Linked DNA regions of Oryctolagus cuniculus. The protein of the gene in region 3 interacts with the protein of the main gene of each other region in a pairwise test. Links are inferred from orthologs where the notes say so. Each region holds a gene or a part of one and is shown on either strand. Other genes may lie near its edges.

Region 1 (4,340 bases), on a different chromosome or scaffold from region 3:
CGAAATCCAGTCTCTCAGCAGTGCGGGTACTCGTGGTGTAGCGGGATCCTTGCGGGTCTAAATGCAGCACCCAGCAGTGAGAACTGACAGAGTCCACAGGCATGCTATCTCTTGGATGAAACACCCAACAGATGTCTCCACCTCACTCACCTGCAACGCTGTCCGGTTTTTCAAATGAAGAGAAGGGAGCATCCATTCTGAGAGCCGCCATCACTTTTACTCTGAGGATACCAACAACTCTACACGCCAGCAGGCACGCAGGCAAGGTTATACATCAAGTTTATGATTGGGAAAAGGAGTCGGTCTGGTGGGGCATGTTGGAGAACAGGATGGTGGTGTAAATCTTCAAACACAGGCCCATTCAAATGCTCTGGCAAGGGGCTGGCACTGTGGCATAGCTGGTAAAGCCACTGCCCACAGTGCCGTATCCCATATGGGCACCAGCTCGAGTCCCGGCTGCTCTGCTTCCGATCCAGCTCTCTGCTATGGCCTGGGAAAGCAGAAGATGGCCCAAGTACTTGGGTCCCTGCACCCACTTGGGAGACCTGGAAGAAGCTCCTGGCTCCTGGCTTCAGATCAGCTAAGATCTGGCGGTTGCTGTCATTTGGGGAGTGAACCAGTGGATGGAAGACCTCTCTCTCTGGCTCTACTTCTCTCTGTAACTCTTTTTCAAATAAATAAATCTTAAAAAAAAAATGCTCTGGCAAATTTATAAATTCCCAGGTACCAATTAGTGCCCATTAGCCCCCTGCTGCTCCCACGGCCACATTCCTTTTGGGGGCAGGTGTGCCCATCCTCCGGCCTGCATTGACGGAAAACAGACTGCAGCCGCATCTCTAATCCCAGGGCAGTTTGCTGCTCTGAGAGACACGTAGGCAGCGTCCTCTTACAGTTCACTACGACTGGGGCAGTGGGCTGCCAGCCTCATTCTCCATCAGCTTCTAATGGACCACAGTGAAAGGCGACCAAAGAATCAATGAACTCAATGCCAACAGGAATGGCAGAGTCAGGACGTACCACCCGGCTCTGAAATTCCTTCCAAAACTCTGGGTTTGCATCCCCTTGTGCATGACGTCATGCCTAACCGTCTTGGTCCCTACAATGGGGATCACGGTGGTGGTAAGCACGGGGTGGGGAGGACGCGCCATGTGCATCAGTCCTGGTCCACTAAGAGGGCACTGATCCGCGTGCCGTGAGTTGCACTCCCACGGCCTGGCATGCGGCCGCCATCCACTAAACACGGACAGATGGAGAGAGCCAGAGCGCAACATCCGAGGAGGGCCACCGGGAATGCAAAGACTCTGGCTGGCGACCGTCGAGAAAACATTCTGAAGCCAGCAATTCTCAAAGAGCGAAGTTAAGAGCAAGCTTGTTGGAGTTTCCCTCGTTAGCAGGGGTTATTTCAATATTCAAAAACGCGGTGGCAAGAAAGTCACAGGGAGTGCACTCCTGACCCTGCCCTTGAGCCTGGTTCTTCCTTTCAAGCTGGGAGAAGTCACCCAACACAGCGGTCACCCCTCCCCCACAGCAGTTAGCGTCTCCCCAAAGACAAACGCACACAGGATCGTGTCATAATACTTTTTTTTTTATTACAATATTCAAAAAAACTGGGTATGCAAGTTTAGGGGATCGCAAGACCCCTTCTTCCATCATAGGAATGTGCCATCTCAAGACTGTATATTTAAACTATAAAGAAGTTCAAATGTAAAGAAAAAAAGGGAACACGATTTCTTCATAAACATCTTGTGTCTCTGACTACCAATCACATTTTCTTTTGTAAACCCTGAAAAATTTCCCTGTAAAGCAAATAAAATATTTAAGTATATACACACACATACACAGACATGCACACGCATGTGTACAGCGTGCATGTGTGTGCGTGGGTGTGTGTATGCTTGTGTGTGGAGTGTTGGTAGCTCCGCTTCCCCCACAGATCAGCTGTTTTCCTGAATCATCCCGCATTAGTGTCAACAACCAGCTACAGATACGTAGGACTTGGAGAACTGAATACATCACCGTGAAGTTCAAAGGAGCTGCAGGCAAGAGCAAACAGCGCTACGTGGATGGCACACTTCAGGGGTCAACGACCAAAACGCGTGTCTTATCTTGAGTCACCGGGTCCCTCCGTTGCAGAATGCCTCTCGAGGAAAATTCTTTATTGCAAGCACGGCCCCAAGGCACTGGACAGCTCCCTCGTGGCCTGCGCAGCCTGGGGGCCCTGGCTGCGTGCACGGTGGCCCTCCAGCCGTGCCCAGGGTCTCCACGTGAGCAGAGGGTTGCCGCCACTAGTTGGAGAGAAATAAAGTGAAGACACTCGGCCCTTCCGCCTCCTTCTAAGACCAGCCAGGAGGGATGGTCGCACCCGGCGGTGGCGCCCGGAGCTGGTGGGCGCAGCGCGGCGCGGCCCCGACCCGAGGGCCCACGGCACAGGTCACTGCAGCGCCCGGACGAGGTAGAGCTTCTCCCCGTGCTCGCTGGTGAAGATGGGGGCCTTTTTGTAGTGTTCCACCAGCTCGTCCATGGTGTGGAATCGCCGCTGCCCAATGCAGTACACATTGTCCACGAGCTGCACCTTGAAGTGTTTGTTCTTCCCTGACGCTTTGAGAGACACGGAGAAGTCGCTGGGCTGCGGGAGCAAACGGCACAGATTACACCAGGGCCCGAGAGGGCGCGGGCTGCACGCTCTGGGGTACTCCACCCCTCTCCCCACGGGCCACACCCCCGGGCCACAGGGTTCCCAGAGGCGCAGGTGTCTACCACGGCACCTGCCGCTCCGCCCGACGACCCCTGCTCAAGGACTTCATTTGGCTGAGTATTCAGTGCTGAACACACCTCCTTCTTTGACACGTGGGACCCGAATGCTAGGAAACACTTTTCACTTCCCGAGCTGTTTTTGAGAAACTGGAATCTAAGACAAGTGGTTTCCATGCAGGCAGAGGCTAGAAATTTCCCTTCTTCTGACTTCTAATACTATTAGAAATTAAACCTTTTTTTTTTTTTTTAAAGTCTAAGCCATTTAAAAATAAACGCCTAGGGCAGGTGTCTGGCCTAGTGGCTAAGATGCTGGTAAGATGCTTGGCGTGTACAAAGGGAGGAGGGCCTTGCCTCATTTTCAGCAGTGAAGGGAAGGGGGAGGGGTCCTGGCCTCCCTGGGTGACCTCAGCCCCTCGGAGCTCCCCCCGCAGCTGCGTCACCTGGCCCCTGCCTATTGTCCCAATCAATGAGCCTAAAGCATAACCTCCCCCACACAGTGCCCATTCTAGTCCTGGCCATGTTGTTCTTGGGGCCATCTGTCTTCTGCGTGGTTATCATACCCTTAAGCTCAAAGTACAGATGCTCCCCCCCAAGACCAGTCCCACACAAGGTCAGTTGTCTCCTCCGTGGCTTGCTATGTGGCACCAAGTCTACGCCACAACCTAGGGCAGCCAAACCCAGGTCCGCAACCCACTTTCTGCTCTCGTAATTCCTAGGGACAAGCTCTGCTCCTACCCTCCCTCCACCTCCCTCGCAGCCAGACTCTGGCCACAAGTTTCCAAAAGCCCTCAAATAACATTCTTCTGAGGAGAAGGGAGCAGAGCCTGGACACAAGGATTAACAGAGCCCACGTGGGCGCCTACTCAGGAGCATGGGTGTCCGAGAAGATCCACACTGCACAGGGCAGCTGGGTGCACACACTAGCCACAGCTGTTAATATGGGTGTCCGAGAAGATCCACACTGCACAGGGCAGCTGGGTGCACACACCAGCCACAGCTGTTAGCACAGCAGGCAGACAGGGACAATGGAGTTTACAGTTAGCCTGTGCGCTGTCCCTCTGCCCAGGACCAACAAAGCAAGAATAAGCCTTGGAGGGAAAAGCCCCTCTTTATCTCCATGCTACCCGAATGCCTTGGGGGAGCCCCCAGGAAATGCTGGTGAATGAGACTCCAGGAAGAGCCCCGAAGGTCCATCCCCAAAGAGGATGCAGGCCAGCTACTATTTTCACAGCCCCTAGAGGGTCAGACCTGGATGGCACACTCAGGCCAAGCTGCTCCACCAACATGCACATCCACACGGCACCAGGCGGCCTCCTCCTGAGTCACCGTGTGGCCTGCGCACCCTCGAAGTGCGACTGTGCTCACAGGGCTGAACAAGACGACGCAAGCTCGCCCCGCTGTCTCCGTCCAGGTGGGCGGCTGTGTGTGGTTCTGAAGGCCCAACAAGCGGAACCAGGCACTGCCCGACAGGTCTGGTGCACACGGGCAAGCTCCAGACGTCAGCAGTATTGGAGGACCGCGACACTCACTCAGCCCTGGCCCCCTGCACAGCACGCACGGGACCCACGGCCGCCAATCAGAGGGCA
Region 2 (6,286 bases), on a different chromosome or scaffold from region 3:
CTCCAATGGCCGCTGCAGCCGGTGTGTTGCGGCCGGTGCACCATGCTGATCCAAAGCCAGGAGCCAGATGCCTCTCCTGGTCTCCCATGCAGGTACAGGGCCCAAGCACTTGGGCCATCCTCCACTGCACTCCCTGGCCACAGCAGAGAGCTGGACTGGAAGAGGAGCAACTGGGACAGAATCTGGTGCCCTGACCAGGACTAGAACCTGGTGTGCTGGCACCGCAGGGGGAGGATTAGCCTATTGAGCCACAGCACTGGCCGAAAAGCTATTTTTAAAAATGTATGTGATCTGAGAGAGAGAGAGAGAGAGAGAGAGAATCTTCTATCCACTGTTTCACTTCCCAAGTGGTTGTAACAGCTGGGGCTGGGCCAGGCCAAAGCCAGGAGTCAGGAACTTCTTCCGGGTCTCCCATGTGGATGCAGGGGCCCAAGCACTTGGGCCATCTTCCACTCTTCTCCCAGGCGCATTAGCAGAGAGTGGGATTGGAAGTGGGGCAGCCAGGACTCAAACTGGCGCCCATATAGAATGCGGTGTAGCAGACAGTGGCTTAACCAGCTGCAGCACAGCACCGGCACCATGATAATGCACTTAAAGAGGAATAAAGTGTAAATCAAAGCAACCATGTTTAAGAATGCCTACTACGTGCTAAGTGCCATTCTGAATAGGTGGGGAGCTAAAACAATACAGTAAGGGTGAGTGTGCGGCTTAGTGATTTAGACACTGGCTGGGACAACTTGGGTTTGAGCCCTGACTCTCACTGCTGATGACAGTATCCTTCTGGGCTCCTGCCACCCACATGGGAGACCTGAACTGACTTCCCAGCTCCCAGCTTCAGCCCAGCACAGCCCTCTCCAACCACCTGTCTTAAATAAATAAATAAATAATAATAAATATACTAATATGTAGCCAACACCTTCAAGGGTCCCTGATGCTCAAACCATAGCTAGTATGTGCCTGAATGAAACATCAATTTGATTGTAGTGGAATCTTGCTGTGGCTCAGCCTTTGTATGTTCCCTGATTGTGCTTTTACAGGCTAATTCTATCTCTAAAGATTTTTTTCTTTTTCTTTCTGATAGCATGCTGTGACCGCTTCACTCGATAGATGAAGAGATTTATACGTGATTTTCATAAGCCTCTGAAGCCTCCCCTCTTAGCAGATGTTGGGTTCTACCTTTGATCTAGAAGTTTTTGAAGGGAGATACTAGCCACTTCTCTTTTGCTTGCAGGAAGAAGGGGTGGAATAATAACTTATGCTAAGATGTTAGCACGGATCCCCAGATTTTATAATTAGTTTTTTTTTTCTGAAGATGAAAGTGTACGTGCGCGCTCTCTCTCTTTTCTGCTCTCATTAAAATGTTCTTTTCTGGGCATAGTCATATTTTCAGAAAAGCTTAAGGGGGCCAGCATTAACATTGACTCTCAATGTCTACAAAGAGAGAGAAACCCTCTGCGAGGTAGATACTCCACATCCTCTGTCGCTTTGTCTGTCCCAAGTCACACACAAGCAGGAGGAAGGGGACTTGGGAAATGTCCAGTTCCAGAGAGGAAGCTACTTCCTATGGTAGGATGACTTCAAATGGCCACGGAGCAAAGACGCGACGCACGTCGCCTTCCTGTGGATCATTTCTCTGTAGCTGATCCTGACCCAAAACCAAATTGAAAGAAGAGGAATTTTTCTCTTACAGACTCTCAAACCTCTGATAAGTCACGGTACCAATCGCCATGTCCCAACAAACAATTATAAAGTGAGTTACTGCAAACTTCAAGACTTTCATGAATTTGCAAATGAGAAACTTACTAATATTTGTTCTAGAAATTAAGAGAAAAAGCGAGAGTCAAAATGGGAAATTTTAGATAATGCTACCTCACAGACAAGTACACCTACAAACTTGAGAACACTCAAAAAAGAAAAAAATCCGCTGGCAGAATAGTGACTACAGGGTTGTCACCGTCACACTTTAAAACATTGCATGCTCGATTTTGTCTTTTGGGGACAGGTTTTAAAGTAATTCAGGCTTCGGTTGCATTTGTACTTTAAAAAATATTAATTAAAACAATTTTTTAATGCAAGCTATACGTTGCTTAATAGTTATTTACAAGCTTTTAACACGCCCTGCCTTCCCTGCCCTGCTCTCGGTCCCCAGGAAGATGAAAGTATAGTCTTAGGGCACCAAGTGTTTTAGGAGAAATGAGGGTCTTATTTATTAGTCTTTGCATTTCCAGATCTGAGATGAGAACTGGCAGGAACCTTGCTTTGACCAGTTGTGTGTGAGTGGTGATTTTTTTTTCCCGTAGAAAAGAATCGTGAATGCAATCACGCCACATTTGAGAAAGTTGACAGGAAGCAGTGACTCTCCAAGCAGATGTTGAATAAAACGCCCAATCCAGGGGGCAGTTTGAGTGTGTCCCAGTGTCACCCATCTGCTCCACGAGTGGAGAAACTGTTCAGATACAGCGCCACAAGCAAACTGGTCTCCCAACGGTCCTGCAGAGGCTTTGTTCAAATGAGGGTGCTCCAAAATGTTCATGAGACAGAAGACAACGTTTATTTCGGTGCAAAAGTTTTTGAAATCCTTTCCCGCAGACTGTGCGCACCGCACCTACGCCTGGGTTCCAACATTTTGCACCGCCATAAAAGTGTCTTTCCATGCCCCTGCCCACCTCCTTTGGGAAGCATCCTCACACGTTGTGCGTGAGGCTCAGCCACCCGATGACGCGCACGCAGGCCCGCACCCAGCGCTGCCGCGAGACCCAAGCCGGGTCCTTGCGCGCCTGGGGTCTCCGCTCCCCCCCGCCCCCGCCGGCGCACCCCGGCTCTCCCTACCTGCATAGTGGTCGAACACGGTGGGCACGTATTCCTCGGGGAAGGCGTCGTTGGCGTAGCTCATGAGCAAGCAGGTCTTCCCCACCGCGCCGTCGCCGACCACCACGCACTTGAGCATCTTCTTCTCGGCGTGGTCCGCACAGCCGCAGCTGCTGTCAGTCCCCTCGGTGCAGTTCATGCTCGCGGCCGCGGCGGCTGGGACTCCCGCTGGCTGCTGCTCCCGCCGCTTGTCCCGCAGAGCCGGTGCCAGGCTGGACGGAGTTCACTCTGCCTCGCTTGGGGTCCCTTGGAGCATCCGGACACGTCGGAGGCTGGCGTGCGCCCCGTCGCTCGCCATCGCGGTCCCGAACAGCGACAGGCACTCGCAGCGGGGTGGGGTGTGGAAGGGAGGAGGGTTGTGAGAAGGGTCCGATCCTCTCCCTTCTCCGTTTAAGCAATCTTCATCTCCAGAGTCCTGGAGGCTTCGCTGGCAGTCTAGAAATTTCAGCGGCTTGCGGCTTCCCGCTCTGCTCTGCCCGTCTGCAGCCCGGCTGGGATTCGGCTAAATCGTCCCCATTTTTTTTTTCCCCACTTCACAGCTAACATGGAGGAAAGCTGGGCTTTTTAATGGAGTTTTTCCACCCCCCTCCCTTGCTTCCTCCAGCTTGCCGAAGCTCAGGAAATCATGGGTTTCCTGCTGCATTCCATATTAGGATCAGTGGGCTGGGAGGGCTGCAACAATGGGAGCTCTGTGTGTGTGTTTGTACTTGTGGGGAACGATGCCAGGACACGGAGTGGGAAAGCACTAGGGGTCCCGCTGCCGGCTCAGGCTCTCAGACTTCCTGTTGCATCGCTGCTAGGCAGCCTGCTTGCTCCTGGCTGGCTGGGAAAGGCTGGGGGCCGGCGAGTCCCGGCTGCCCCAGGAGCAAGAGGGAACGGCTGGAGCGAGCGCGCAGAACCGCACCAGCAGTTGTAGCATAACATATGACATCATCGCTCCCTGAGTCACCGGTGGAGGGCTCTGAGAATTAAACACGGCCGTTTCTTGGCTGGCTTCAGTGAGCACCCTCGCCACGCTTCGCTGCAATAAAGAAGCAACCCTTCCAAGGTGATTTTTTTTTTTTTTTTGGTAGGTCGCAGGTGTAACGCGAGAGTACTTCAACAAGTTCGTGGAATGCGGACTCGAAAGACAAGTTTATTTTGCTGCAAAACCTTTAGAAATCCGTACACACGAGGGCTCTTTACAAAGTTGCTAGAAAAATGTACACTATGCGAAAATTTACGTGTGGATTGCTACGTTTTCTGCGCCCAAATTAAACATCTCTTTGGATTCCCTTTTCCATGAACATTTCAAGGTACACGTGTGTGTGTGTGTGTGTGTGTGTAAGAGAGAGAGAGAGAGAGAGAGAGAGAGAGATCAGGCTTACAAACTGCTCTATTTGAGTATAGCACCCAGATATGTATTCCAGACACAAACATTTCTTACGGCTGTAGCACATAAATCAGACGTGGGAAGTCTGCATTTTCTTTTGAGGAAATAAACACACATGTGCTTGGATTCTGCGTAACACCCTCGGACAGGAGAGAGTGAAGACATGTTTTTGGTTCGTCTAGGGTTCCTCAGGCTGATACTGCCTAGACATTTCCCTTTTTGATTTAGTCCTGTCCCCGTGGGCCAGCCTGGCCCTCTTTTATTACAAAGGAGCCCTTGGAAGTGAATTTATTTGTTGGTTGGGTCACTCTAAATGAAGCCCCTTTGAAGCTCAGTGTTTGATGAATGTATTTGGTCTTGGAAAAGAAGTAGAACTCTGCAAATCATTTTGATAAATGAGCCAAAACAGCGGAACTCTTTCTTTGAGACTTTTGAACACTGATGTTGTAGGATTCAAAAATTACCCAATCATTTTTGAGATTTTCTTTTTTTGATGAGGTTTTTTTTTTTTTTTTTTTTTTTTTTTTTTTTTTTATTGGGGAGCTGGGAGAGAAATCTTTTAGTTGGTAGCTATCAATAATGTAAGGGAGGGTGCAATAGGTAAAGCCCTCGCTTAGGACACATGCATCCCATATCATAGCACCTGGGATCCAGCCCCTTCTGTTCTGTTTCTGACCTACTTCCTGCTAATGCGTCCTAGGAGTGCCTAAGCCCGTGACACCCACATTGGAGTCTCATATGGAGTTCTTAGCTCCTGGCTTTTGCTATTACAGCCAACTGGGGGAGTACAATAGTGGATAGAAGCTCTCTCTAAGTATATGAAAATAAATAAACATTAAAAAAAGGAGGGGCTGGCACTGTGGCATAGCTGGTGGGTAAAGCCACGGCCTACAGTGCCGGCATCCCATATGGGTGCCAGTTTGAGTCCTGGCTACTCCACTTCTGATCCAGCTTTCTGCTATGGCCTGGGTAAGCAGTAGAAGATGGCCCAAGTGCTGTGGCTCCTGTACCCACGTGGGAGACCTGAAGAAGCTCCTGGCTTTGGCCTGGCCCAGTTGCAGACATTGTGGCCATTTGGGTAGTGAACCAATGGATGGAAGATTTCTCTCTCTCTCTGTGTGTAACTTTGCCTTTCAAATAAAATAAATATTTTTTAAAAAAGAAAAGAAAACAATATTTTAGATAAAGTCTCCATGCCAGTTCTAATTGTTATCCCTTTAAATCTTTGGAACTAAAATATATTCTTACCATTCCACCCGGGCAAGCAATCACAAATCTATTGCCTTATAGCCCTAAGGTAAAACACTGAATTGTCTTGTCTTTTTTTTTTTTGACAGGCAGAGTGAGACAGTCAGAGAGAGAGAGACAGAGAGAAAGGTCTTCCATTTTCCATTGGTTCACCCTCAAGTGGCCTCTACGGCCAGTGCTGCACTGATCCGAAGCCAGGAGTCAGGTGCTTCTCCTGGTCTCCCATGGGGTGCAGGGCCCAAGCACTCGGGCCATCCTCCACTGCACTTCCGGGCCTCAACAGAGAGTTGGACTGGAAGAGGAGCAACTGGGACAGAATCCGGCACCCTGACCGGGACTAGAACCTGGTGTGCCGGTGCCGCAGGTGGAGGATTAGCCTAGTGAGCCTGGGTGCCGGCCCAAGGTCAGGTTTTCAACAGTGAAAATGATTTATTCAGGACAGGCGTTTGTGGTTAAGACACTGCCTGGGGGGCCAGTGCCGTGGCTCACTTAGTTAATCCTCCGCCTGCAGCGCCAGCATCCCATGTGGCCACTGGGTTCTAGTCCCGGTTGTTCCTCTTCCAGTCCAGCTCTCTGCTGTGGAGTGCAGTGGAGGATGGCCCAAGTGCTTGGGCCCCTGCACCTGCATGGGAGACCAGGAGGAAGCACCTGGCTCCTGGCTTTGGATCAGCACAGTGCGCCGGCCATAGCGGCCATTTTGGGGGTGAACCAACGGAAGGAAGACCTTTCTCTCTGTCTGTTTCTCACTATCTATAACTCTACTGTCAAATAAAAAATAAATAAAAAGACAATGCCTGG
Region 3 (6,141 bases):
CCCCATTGAGAATGAACACTTTTATGGTGTGGGGACAGTGTTAATTATAATTTTGTAGAGTTGGCTGGATTTTACTGTCTGAAAAGCCTTAAATAGAATTTCACTTGTCAGGTCACTCACTTATCAACTCAAGACATGGTGTGATGATCGCCATGAGATTTCTTTTTTCTAAAACCCCAAAACAACTCTTCTTCATCTGAAGAGCAGACGATGATGAAAGGCCAGAGTGTAACAGTTAGGGTAGAGGAAATGCCTTGAATGTTCTCTTATGCTAAAGTCATTGTTCGGGACTGGGACTCAGACTGGCAATGGAGACCAGTGAATGGGTGCAGCTGAGAACCTGGCACCTCCAGCAAGTACGCCCCTCCCAGTTACCAGCGGCTACCTTCCCTTGGAGTTTGCTGTTAGTTTCCTGTGGCTGACACACACTATATTATCATCACACATAGAGTGGCTGAAAATGTTTATTACTTTATGGTTCTGTAGTTCTGAAGTCCAAAATGGGTGTCAGTGGGCTAAAATTAAGGTGTTGGCAGCGCTCTGTTCCTTTCTGGAGGCTTCAGAAGAGGATCTGTCTTTCTGGCTTTTCCATCTCCTGGAGTCTGCTCCCAAAAGCAGGGGAGCCCCGCCTCAAAATCCTTAATTTGGAGGGAGAATCAAGTTCGTGGATAAAGTTCATAAACCTTGCCCGTTGGCATGAAGGCAAATTCTGATGTTTGCTATCTTTCCTTCCCTTATTAAAGTACTACATGCCATAAAAGGCGTGGAAATACTATAGGATTACAGAATTGTCAAAGCTCAGGGAAACTCTAGAAATATTAGTCAAATAAATAAATGAACATGACATTTGAGCTCAGCTTTGTAGAATCAATAGGTGTTGGCCAGTCACATAAGGAGTGAAGGGCTCAGAGACATGAAGAAGTGTGTATTGCGAGAATGTTAAATAGTATTTTAGTGTGGCTGGAGGAAAAGCTATATGATGAGTGATGGAGCTGAAAAAGTCAGGTTGTGAAGTCCCAGGTTAAGGATTTTAGACTTTATCCTGAAAGCAATAAAAACCTTTCAGAGTGTTTAAATAGAGGAGGACATCATCATATTTGTGGTGGTCAGTGGATTGGATCTGGAGCAACTGAAGGTTGCGCCAGTAGTTCATGTGATGGTGGAGGAAGAGAAGGGCAAGGACCTGCAAAGTAGAATTGACAAGACCTGACGTCCAGTTTGGTAGGCAGGTAGAGAGAATCTGGACTTTCGTCCAGGTTTCTGTTTTCACTGACTGCTGGATTGTGTGGTCGATTCACTGAGACCAGGAAGGCACAAGAGTCGCAAGGTTGGAGGGAAATGACTGGTAATAGTCAACATTCCAAAGGGCTGACTATGCTTAATTGTCACTATCATTTTTATGGCTTCAGGTAGGCTTAGAGAGATTAAGTTAAGGATACACAAGTACCACTTATTATGGAGAAAGTATGGTTTAAAAACGTTAAGATCCTATTACTAACATTTATATGGATGATACGTATTTGAAGCAAGACAATCTTGTTCCAGACTTTCAGCCACCAATGCTGTCCAGTACTGGACACGTTGAATCTGAGGTACAACAATGCATGCAGGTGAACGCTGTGGGGGAGGTTTTGGTAAATACATAATCTTTGCTCCAGGGCAAGGTTTGGAGAAAGTAGACATCATACAAAGAGAAAAACGGGAAAGGAAGCCATTTTTTTTTTTCTGTGTCAGGTCACCATGGTTATCCTTTGTCTCCCCACTTTGGCTCCCACATCCTACCCAAAGAAAACAATTAGAATCATAGATAATGTGGCTCTGAGATCACACGAAACCGTTTTCAAATTCAGTCCTTGGAAATGAGCTAACGAATGCGGTGGTGCTTTGTAAGCAGCAGTCCCTGAATCCTGAGGGTTAGCCGCCTTTTTCCGATTGCAGCCATCCCAGAAATTGCCCAAAGGTTTTCAGTCACAAAGTCCATAGCAAAGAAACCTGCGGCGGGTTGAGAGCACCCGCAGAGAGCAGAGGAGCGGGCGCAATGACGTCACAGGCAACCGGGTGATTCCCCAGCCTCTGGCGTCATGAGGCGATGACGTCATCCCGGCGCTCGCCCTCCCCCTCGCCTGGGCTGGTCTCGCTCACGTGGGCCAGCCGGCCCTCCCCGCCCCCTCCCACCTGCGGGAGGCGGGGCGGGCAGGGCTCCGCCGGCGCCGAGGCCTCACAGGGGCGGGGCGGGGGCCGGTGGGCGAGGCGGTCGGGCCCGGGAGGCGGCTTACAATAGGGCGCCTGCGGCGGGGCGGCGGCGGGCAGCGGCTGCCACTGGAACTGAAGGTGCCGGCTACACAGTGGACGCCCCCTCACGGCTGCCCACACACGCCCTCCCCCTCAGCTCGCCCATCGCGCCTCCCCGCCTCGCTCTGCTGTCCTACTCCGGAGACACTTTGCCCTCGGACTCTTCTTTTCTCCGAACCCCGCAGTCCCCAAAATCCCGCTCAAAGAACTCTGCCTCCCCATCGACTTCCCACCTCCCTCCGAGGCCGTCCGAGCCCCTCACATCCCCGCCCCTCTCAGCCCACCGAGCCGGCCCCGCAGCGCCTCCTCCCGCCTCACCGCCCCCTCCCTCGCAGGTCCCTCGGTCCTGAGGGGATCCCCAGAGCCAGCGGCCGGGGGGAGGCGCGCGGCGGCGGCGGCGGGAGGGAGAAAGTGAAGCGGCGGCTCGCGCACACTCGCGCGCTCACCCCCGGCCCGGCCGCCGCCACCGGGGTGGAGGAGCAGGAGGAGGAGCCGAGCGGAGCAGAGCGAGCACGGAAGGTAAGAGCCGGCCTCCGGTCGGTGCCCCTGGCGTTGCGGGCTGTCCCGGCTGAGGCGCGCGGTCGGGGTGGGCTGGACGGGGTGGGGGCCCTGGGCGCATTCATTCTGGGCGCCGGGTCCCGGCGGGCGGGGGCGCCAGGTGAGGTGAGGCGGGCGCCGCCCCGCGAGGCGGGCCGCTCCCGTCGGGCCAACAAAGGCCCCCTGTGCACGCACCCGCGCGACCGCCGGTCTCGGACGCCGGGACATCGGGGGGCCGGGAGGGGGGAGGCCCCGGCGGGGGAGGGGCCGGGCCGAGGCTGGGAGACCAGACAGGTCCGAGTCCGGGACCAGCTCCGTCCCGAACTTGGCCGTCCCGCAGCGCTCACCGTGGCCCGCGACGGGGAAGCCTGGCCACAGGGCGCCCGCTTCATTCTGCGTGGAAAAGTTCCCCAGTCCAGGCTTGGAGAGCCACCGTTAGGGTTCAACTTGAAAAGAAAACAGTAGTGCGATTTATGCAGCCCTTCCCCCATCCCGGGAGTACTCCCTAACTTAGGAAGGTGAAAACAATCGAGGAAGGGAGAATTATAGTTGTTTTGTATTAGCTATTCCATTTCAAAAGACATTATTACAGCGTTCACTGTTTTGAATATTTCAACGGTAAACATTACTGGCAGTGTTTTGGAAGAATACTTAAGAAGTACTGGGTGTGTGTCGGTGTTGCCAGTAAAATCCTTGTTAAACCCCTTGGATAATTGTCTTACACTTCACTGTATTTTTTAACTGTGAAAGGTGAAGGGAAAGGTTGGTATTGTGGTTACCAATAAACATTCAAATCCATCACTCTTGTCTTTAAAGAATTGTTCTTGGGAAAAATGTTTAATTTCGTCAACTGTGTATTTGAGCTTTCTCATCTCTTGTCAGGAGAAAACAGGAGTCCACAGTACAAAGATACCTCATTTGTCTTACCTTGTGGCTTTACCTACTTCCTGTGTGACCTTGAGCAGGTCACTTCCAGCCTTAAAATTCTAGGAGTTTGCTTTTGTGTCCCTGGAATGGGCAGGTAGGCAGCATACCTACTTCACTTTCAAGAGTCCAGTGAAGAATATGCCTCCCCCCAAGTCTTTGCTGGCATCTGTCCCCTCCCTCTCAGGTAGAGCTGACTTCTCCCCGTTGGGGCTTTCAGAGGCCCACTGAGATTTCTCCTATGGCACTTGTAGCATTTTAATTTCTGTTTGGGAAATCCTGAATCAGGTGCATATGAAACCTACCCCACATCAGCTCTAATTCTCAAAAAAGTTTTGGGAATATGGACCCTGAAACATTCCCTGAACCTTATACATACCTTTACGTGAGCTCGTGGGTCTACCTGGTAAAATTGCTTATTCAGTTATTCTCTTATCCATTATTACTGGAATCTGCTTCAAGCCTCTTGCCACAGCCATGGGGATTTCAAGAGTGTTAAGACCTTCCTTGTCTTCAAAGAGCTCAAAGTCTAGTGGGTGAGGTAGACAAGTAAACAATGCAGCCTGCCCTAATCTCCGGGGGACTTCAGTTGTACAGGGAGTAGTGTGCAATAATTGAGGTTGCTGGACCTGTTTTACAAGTTTGCTTCTGGCCAAATTGAGTTCTTCAGGCTGGCCCCTCATCCATAAGAAAAAGTAAAATTCTACATACATTTATTGAGCACAGGTTTTGAGACTCTGTATAGACTTGAAGGAAGCAGCACCTCAAAGGAAGGCATTTGTGTAACCACAGGGATTTTGTAAAACAAAGCGTAATCACTTAAGTAATTCCTACCTCTGACTATTCATTGTCAAAAGATAAATTTCAGACTCCTTAGCTTGGAACTAGAAACTGGAGATCTGAGCATTGTCTACCTTTGCAGCCTCAGTTTTGGTAAACTCTCTCCTACCACTTTTTTCTCATCTGTGCTTCCCCTTGTGCTGTTTCATCTGCCTAGAATGTCTGCCTTCTTCACCTTCCCTGCCTACAGAGGTGTCCTTGTAATAAGTTGCCTTTCCATCCTCTGGCTCATGTACACACCACGTTTTTAGTTCTGTCTGGCACTGTATTACAATTATGTTAAGTCTGTGCTTATCTTTTTTCACTAGCCTGTGAATTTCATGAGGGCATGATCTGTTTAGTTTTAGTGGCTAGCAAAGGACCTGGCATTGAATAAGTGTTTAAATGAATGAATATGTGTATAAAGAATAAAGTCAAGGCCCATGAGTTAGAGATTCCTAATAGTTTCTCAAAGTGTGGTCCCTGGATCACAGCTTCAGCATAATCTGGCATCTTGTTAGCAAATCAGTGGGTACTAGTTGAAACCTACACATGAACAACTCTGAGGTTGGGGCTCCCACAGAGACCTTTGCTTTAACAAGCTCTCTTAAGTGGTTCTGATGCTTGCTGAAGTTTGCAAACCAGTTTCAGAATTGCCTCCTGATACCCTAGTAGCTCCCTTTCTCCCTTTTTTTCTTCCATGACACTTACTGCCTGACATTCCATTCCATCCCACTTATAATCTGTCTTAAGAGAATGAAAACTTCTTGAGAACAGGAAGTTTTGTCTGTTTTCTCCATTGCTTTAATTCTAATGCCTAGAGTAATGACAGCATAGAGCAGGAACTCAAGAGTTTGTTGAATGAATACTATAAGGTGATTTAGTCCCATTTACTGCCAACTGCTACTTTGGGGTTATAGTTAAGAATCATTCTCATAATGAAAAGGAAGTACACTTTAATATGTAAATCCAAAGGATTCCTAACATTTTTGGGGATGTTTTAGGTAGAAATTTTCTTCCCTTTTACATCTGTCATTCTCCAACCAAAGCCTGCAGGATTTTTTATCTTTTTATTTTGTTTGTTTTAGCCATTACCTGAAAACTGCTGTTGAACTATCCTAGGCAGGGATTGTTTCTTGGGAATTTGTAATTTGGTTTTGCAAGTCTAAATAAGCACCCTCACTTTCGAGATGTGTTTTTTTTTTTTTAAAGATTTTTATTTATTTATTTATTTGAAAGGCAGGGTTTCAGAGAGAGGAAGAGAGAAAGAGACAGAGAGAGATCTTCCATCCACTGGTTCACTCCCCAAATGACTGCAGTGTTCAGGGCTGGGCCAGGCTGAAGCCAGGAGCCAGCAGCTTCTTCTGGGTCTCCCACATGGATGCTGGGGATCCAGGGACTTGGGCCATCATCTGCTGCTTTCCCAGGCACATTAGTAGGGCAGAAATGGAACAACTGGGTCTTGGACCCACACCCATGTGGGATGCTGGCATCACATGTGGAGGCTTAACCTGCTACTCCACAACACTGGTCGTACTTTTGAGTATTTTTTAAAGATTTATTTTATTT

Evidence for each region.
Region 1: the proteins of PAK1 (region 3) and NCK2 interact in binary tests that used the Homo sapiens proteins (3 or more experiments, as listed by UniProt). The link is inferred for Oryctolagus cuniculus from reciprocal best matches to the Homo sapiens genes PAK1 and NCK2.
Region 2: the proteins of PAK1 (region 3) and RHOJ interact in binary tests that used the Homo sapiens proteins (3 or more experiments, as listed by UniProt). The link is inferred for Oryctolagus cuniculus from reciprocal best matches to the Homo sapiens genes PAK1 and RHOJ.

Annotation. Positions count from the first base shown.
Region 1 is NC_091433.1:102,700,993-102,705,332, forward strand, and holds the end of NCK2 (cytoplasmic protein NCK2), read right to left. Parts: intron 2,627-4,340; coding exon 2,432-2,626; 3' UTR 1,565-2,431; downstream 1-1,564. UniProt on the Homo sapiens protein: Adapter protein which associates with tyrosine-phosphorylated growth factor receptors or their cellular substrates. Maintains low levels of EIF2S1 phosphorylation by promoting its dephosphorylation by PP1.
Region 2 is NC_091451.1:7,234,688-7,240,973, forward strand, and holds the start of RHOJ (rho-related GTP-binding protein RhoJ), read right to left. Parts: upstream 3,885-6,286; 5' UTR 3,008-3,884; coding exon 2,830-3,007; intron 1-2,829.
Region 3 is NC_091432.1:68,609,621-68,615,761, reverse strand, and holds the start of PAK1 (serine/threonine-protein kinase PAK 1), read left to right. Parts: upstream 1-2,228; 5' UTR 2,229-2,811; intron 2,812-6,141. UniProt on the Homo sapiens protein: Protein kinase involved in intracellular signaling pathways downstream of integrins and receptor-type kinases that plays an important role in cytoskeleton dynamics, in cell adhesion, migration, proliferation, apoptosis, mitosis, and in vesicle-mediated transport processes.